Kluyveromyces lactis: one gene and its partner. The protein of the gene in region 1 interacts with the protein of each later gene in a pairwise test. Links are inferred from orthologs where the notes say so. Each region holds a gene or a part of one and is shown in the gene's direction. Other genes may lie near its edges.

Region 1 (3,053 bases):
GTGATGGAGATCAAGTTCGCGGATTACGATTCAGATCTCATCAGGTACAAGGCGATCCTACAACCTTTGAACAAGACCGTTAGAAGTATAAGGTCGAATATTCAAACTTATTCGGCTGTTTTATCTGAACTCGGCGCGTATTTCAACGCGTTCAGTCTAGAGAATAGCGTGTTTCAAGTGAGTGCATTATTTGAACAAATGAATCGTCTATCGATGGGAATAGAGAAGACAGGTCAAGCAATCGATGTGAATTATGTTAGTGCAGAGATATTTAGTGAAGCAATCATGATCAGTCTAGAAGAGGGAAGCAAAGAAATGCTTCAGTTCATTCATGAAGCACAAAGAGTTCTTCACTTCAGAAATTTCAAGCAAGAACAATTTTACACAATTGAAACTACGATAAAGAAGAGGAAAGATAGAATCCGTGAATTGAAAGAGGCAGACCTACAAGCTGTACGATTGGGCGAGGCATTGAAATTAAATGCAGAGGAATCACCCACCGTTGCTCAAGTTATGGACTCCATGACGCGTAAGTCAGCAAACAAGAATCACACGGACAAACAGATAATGGGGCTTTTCAGGTCATCAGCATCTCCAAACAACAAGTCTGGATCTGATTCGATTTCAAGTGAAGTCGAACCTCATCTTCTAACTAAAGACGAACGGGTTGTACAGGTAAACAAACTAGAAAAGGAACTTGAAAAACTGAATGAATGTTTCAAACTCATCGAAAAGGACTTACAACAAGTCAATGAGTCAATGGATAACTCTTTGAATAACTTAGAGAAATATTTCCATGAGAAGTGGTTCCTCATTTTCCGCGAACTAGCCCACAATATAACATCATGGTTAAAGGATTGTTCAGAGTCTTGGAAAAATGCCAAACAGTCTATAGATAGCATATAAAAGGTTTATATCTCAAAAAGAAAGGCATGAAGTATTGCATTGAACTACATTATTTGATGATGAAAGTGCAGATGGAGATGATTTGCTGTCACATATCTAGTTCATCCACTTCTCACAGCATTTGTTTGGAGAATTGTCATTATTAACGACTTTCATGCTTCGATTGACGTTTTGTAAATATGAAATATATAGATCGATACACCTTCTGAAATGTAAGGTGGCGAACAGAATATTAAAGATTATAGATTAAGGCATACATCGCACGACTAACAGCACTTCAGCAAGCTTAAATAGTCAAAATATGACACACGAAATTGACACCATATTATCTACATTGAAGCAGGAAGTCAATAGTGAATTGGCCCCATTATTCGACGATTTTGAAGACTTGTATGAGAGGAAGCTATGGCATCAGTTAACTGAGAAGCTAGCGATTTTTTTCCATGATAGCAAATCAGAATCGTTCAGACTTCGCCTTTATACCCAATTTGTCAGTAAGTTCATTGACAAGATAAACCAATTGAATGTTGTTGAGTTTTTGTTGCAAGCATTACAAGAAAACGATGACACAGAAGAATCATTACAATATCTAAAGGATCTTCAAAAGGAATTCAAAGAAATTGATGAAAAGAAGCAAAGAAACGATGGTTTAAAACCTCATGTAAATGGGAACTTGTTGTTAGATATTGAGATTGCTCGTGTGAAATTGGAAAAGGGGGACCTAGTTGAGGTCAGAGACATCCTAGACGCTATTGGGAAAACACTTGATGTTCAAGATTCGGTACCTCTCAGAGTTACCGGTGCCTACTACTCGTGTAACGCTTCCTATTACCAAGTAAAGAAAGACTTCAACAATTTCTATTATACCAGTCTTTTATATCTCTCAACAATCACTTCGGAAGAACAACAGCAGCGATTGACACAACTCGAACAACAACAATTGGCATACAATTTGTGCATTGCAGCATTGTTAGGTGACAATATCTATAATTTCGGTGAACTACTTCAGCATCCAATTATTTCAAGTATTTCAAACGATAAAGAATACGAATGGTTATTCAGATTCTTGAACGCATTAACTGAAGGGGATTTCCAAAAGTTTGATCAAATTTCAAAAGAAAGAATTCCCAAGGTACCAATCTTAGCTCAACATGAGTCATTCTTGAGACAAAAGATTTGTTTGATGACTCTAGTAGAAAGCGTGTTTGCAAAGTCTATCAGAACGTTGTCTTTCCGCGATATTGCAGATGCCACATTTTTACCTATCGACAGTGTTGAACATTTAGTAATGAGAAGTATCAGCTTAGGATTGTTGAAGGGATCAATAGATCAAGTCCAACAATTGGTTACAATTACGTGGGTTCAGCCTAGGATCATCAACCAAGAGCAAATTAAAAAAATGAAAGATAACTTGATAAAATGGCAAGATGAAGTGTCGAAATTGGGTAATAAGATTGAAGGAAGGGGTAAAAGTATTTGGGTATAATGCTTAAGTATCGTCACATATTATATACTACGTACATCCGCTTAATATCTATGAAAAACGAAATCCACCAACATGTTTCATTGATCGGTTTGAATTTCTGAAAGAGTTAGACGATATATCTTGGAGTTTGTAATATACAGGTAGATACGTAACACACATAGTACTCGAATGTAGTAATTATACACATATGCTATTGTATCGTTCGAGAGCAAAATGGGTCAAAGAATGTCATATAATATAACCGTATGATGCTGAGTGATATGCTCATTTGTTCAACCAGGAAGTAAGATTATTAGGATACACATACGTCACGCTACGCAGAGATATCCCATGTTATGAAAGGAATGGGATAAATTGTAGGGAACAAATAAGCTGTAAGATAAGATGCAACAACTTTGAAGGTAGAAGTAAAGAGACCTTGGTATTGAAATAATGGGTTTAGAACTTAGTTTTGAAGTAGTTTTTCTCTTCAAAAAATACTATATCAGTTTGATCAGCGAGTTCTTACAGTTTATCATTCTTCTTTCTTTGGTTTTGGCTTAGACCATTCTGCGTGTAACATGAAATTCATGAAACCTCTGCCTTCCAATAATTTCAAAGCTTGAGCAGCAATTTCTTCAGTTTGGAAAGTAACGTAAGCAACACCACGGGATCTACCAGT
Region 2 (3,398 bases), on another chromosome or scaffold:
AAGATCAATGGTGCGTCCAATAGAATGTATCTAGAAATGGTAACGAAAGAGTTTTCCAATGCGAACATCAAAGAAGCTACGAAAGCAATCCAAATTCTGATACCAGAAGCACGCAAGGTGAAGTACATCAAGAGCACTGTAGCCAAACCTAGAAACGCAGAGAAGAATCTCATAGCGAAGTATGGAGTGGAAGCTGGGAATGCAAGACCAATATCCTTGAATTCAAAATCACCGGTGAAACCAGCCAATGATCCAATACCAGCAAAAAGCATCTTAGCTAACGGAGGATGGACGTCGGTAAAGAAGATACCCTTAATGTATTTAGCTGCGAATTTACCGAAATGAACTTCATCGAAAACAACGGAATTTGGATCCGAAAGGTTCCAAAGTCTCACAACGGATGCGATAACAGCCAATGCAATAACAACCAAACGTTCTTTACTAGAAGTCATCGTACGGATAGATTTCAAATTCTTTGGTGGCTCAGTGACCAAGAAAGGTCTCAATGGACCTTTCTCAACTTGAATGTCACCAACGCTATCAACATCGAGAACACAATCTTGTACTTTAGTAGAGGTCTTAGTCTTACCCATTTTCTACAACAAAATCAAACAGAGAGTGAGACTGAGATACCTTTACAATGAGAAATACAATCAATGATCAGATCAGATCAGATACAGATACAGACAACAGATGTTTTCTCACTTCGAAAAAGCCTTGGAAATGGTAACTAAATGTTTGAGAAGAGAGAACAAAAAAAAACCAATTCAAAAATTCAATTCCAGTTCAAAGGTCCCAATTGAAATTGTCTAGCTCCTATCTAAGTTTCCCACAGATACTGGTCGACTGATACCTCTATCTGCAAAAGAAAACCTAAGTTTATTCCACCCAAAACTTGCCAAAATGAACACGTCTCTGTTTAATTTCATCCATACTATTATTTCAAATATATTTATATAATATTTACCCATACCGAGCTTTCAGTGAAATTAAGTTTTTTTTCTTTCAGATATCTACAAATAGGTGATTTTAGGTGTTTGAGGTGAAAATTATGAGTTACAGGTGTGTAATTGCTGCAGAACATGTGAGAGACAATGAACCTGAGGATGTGGATTACCAGTACCGATCAGCATATGCGGCAGATGAGAGTGAGGAGTTTAAAGATTGGCTGAAGTGAATGCAGTGAAGGGTCTTTCACGTGCTATTCTCGAGGAATGGTAAACACATCACGGAGGACGAAACGCGACTATTTTTCCTTTTTTTCGTGCGGATGTATCTGTGCTAAGATTAGGACAGTAAAGGAAATCTAATTTCGATTCACGTGACGTATAAGTCACGTGAATAGTCTACCCTTATTCAAGTTACGTACCAAATGATCGCCTTGAATTGAACCAGTTTCTGTAGTAGAATGATATATATAATCTTGTCCAAGAGATTATAGTTAAAGTAAATTAAATAAGGTGGCAAACCGAAAACATCGAGGTAGACACAATTGGCGCTACACCTGCCAGAGATCGTCTAGCAGAAGCTGAAGTTAAACTACGAAAGGAACAGGAAAGAAAGCAAATAATCCCACTTAGATATGTCGTTGGAAGAAGCTAGAAATCTTGTAGGGAAGGAAGATTATGAGAAGGCTGAAGCGCAGTTCTTAGCAGTATTGAACCATCAAGATGCCGCACAACCCCAATCAATTAGCAATAAAGATGCTCAAGAAAAGGAACAATGTATTCTTGAGCTAGGTCAATTGTATGGTACCACACATCAGTTGAAGAAACTCGCCGAGTTTGTACCACGCTCTCGTGAATACATGATGAAAGTAGCGAAATCAAAGATTGCCAAAGTTTTAAAGACGTTACTTAACGATTTCGAATTGATACCCGATTCCTTGGATACCCAAATCGAGATATGCGAAGATTCGATCGACTTTGCCACAAAGGAGAAGAGAATCTTTTTAAAGCATTCTCTATCGATTAGGTTGGCAACTCTTTACTACCAAAAGACGCATTACAACGAATCCTTGCAATTGATCAATGATTTGTTGAGGCAGTTTAAGAAATTGGACGATAAATCGTCTTTGCTCGAAGTTCATCTATTGGAATGTAAAGTGTACCATAAATTAAGAAATTTGACTAAATCAAAGGCTGCTTTGACAAGTGCTAGAACATCCGCAAATTCGATTTATTGTCCAACATTGACAATGGCAGAATTGGATTTAATGAGTGGTATCTTACACTGTGAAGACAAAGATTATAAGACTGCTTTCTCATACTTTTATGAATCCTTTGAAGCCTTCCACAGCCAAACTGGCTCAAACACATTCGGAAAAGCTTGTCAAGTGCTAAAGTATATGCTTCTTTCAAAGATCATGCTTAATTTGATTGATGAAGTGAAAACTATCTTGAACGCCAAATATACTAAGGAGACCTACCAAAGTCGCGGAATTGACGCCATGAAGGCAGTCGCTGAGGCTTATAATAATAGATCCCTACTGGAGTTCAATACAGCAATGCAAAATTATAAGACAGAATTGATGGGCGATGAACTCATTAGATCACATTTCAATGCATTATACGACACCCTTTTGGAATCAAATCTTAGTAAGATCATCGAACCATTCGAATGTGTTGAAGTATCGCATATCTCAAAGATTATCGGGCTTGATGCTCAACAAGTAGAGGGCAAACTTTCACAAATGATTTTAGACAAAGTTTTCTTTGGTGTGCTTGACCAAGGAAACGGATGGCTTTATATTTATGAGACACCACAACAGGATGCCACTTATGATTCTTCGTTAGAATTGATCAATCAACTCAATGGAGTTGTAGAACAACTCTTTGAAAAAGCCGCTGTATTATACTAAAATTAAAAATTCATTATAATACGCTCATCCTTCAATCATTAAAGTAACTTAGTAAATAAATATATTTTACGTAGGTTTAAGATCATTCGAAATTCAAATAAAGTATTCCTCCGGTACCTTGAAAGGTACGCCCAATATTTTAGCAAACTCTTTGTCACTGTCACTAAAATCATTTGGTCTTCCTGCAGCATCCCCGCAGTAAAATAAAAGTTCAATTGAGTCCGATTGTTCGTCAGAATCTTTAAGAAATTCATCAAACAAACCACGATTGGGTTTTCTCACATTATCAAACATTTCAGGTGTTACCATTGTCCCGTTTATTCTTTTCTTCTGGCCAGAAATAATGTTCTTAACAACTTTATTTGCGTGAGCAGTGCTGGCGGCTTTGCTGCCACCAAAAAGGGAAGCTGGTTTTTTAGTAGCACAGTAAATCCAAATACGATCACACAGTTGAGAATCGTTTTCCGATATGTATTTCAATACTTTGCAAATTTTATCAACGTGTTTTACGCAGCTTTTAGAGGTTCTAGGTTCACTA

The links.
Region 2: the proteins of RPN9 (region 1) and RPN6 interact in binary tests that used the Saccharomyces cerevisiae proteins (3 or more experiments, as listed by UniProt). The link is inferred for Kluyveromyces lactis from reciprocal best matches to the Saccharomyces cerevisiae genes RPN9 and RPN6.

What each region holds. Positions count from the first base shown.
Region 1 is NC_006038.1:63,077-66,129, forward strand, and holds RPN9 (proteasome regulatory particle lid subunit RPN9), read left to right. Parts: upstream 1-1,207; coding exon 1,208-2,392; downstream 2,393-3,053. Other genes in the region: SNX41 (Snx41p), read left to right, coding at 1-906; TIF35 (translation initiation factor eIF3 core subunit g), read right to left, coding at 2,907-3,053. UniProt on the Saccharomyces cerevisiae protein: Acts as a regulatory subunit of the 26S proteasome which is involved in the ATP-dependent degradation of ubiquitinated proteins.
Region 2 is NC_006041.1:136,615-140,012, forward strand, and holds RPN6 (proteasome regulatory particle lid subunit RPN6), read left to right. Parts: upstream 1-1,582; coding exon 1,583-2,860; downstream 2,861-3,398. Other genes in the region: dolichyl-phosphate-mannose-protein mannosyltransferase PMT1, read right to left, coding at 1-593; TPP1 (polynucleotide 3'-phosphatase), read right to left, coding at 2,954-3,398. UniProt on the Saccharomyces cerevisiae protein: Component of the lid subcomplex of the 26S proteasome, a multiprotein complex involved in the ATP-dependent degradation of ubiquitinated proteins. In the complex, RPN6 is required for proteasome assembly.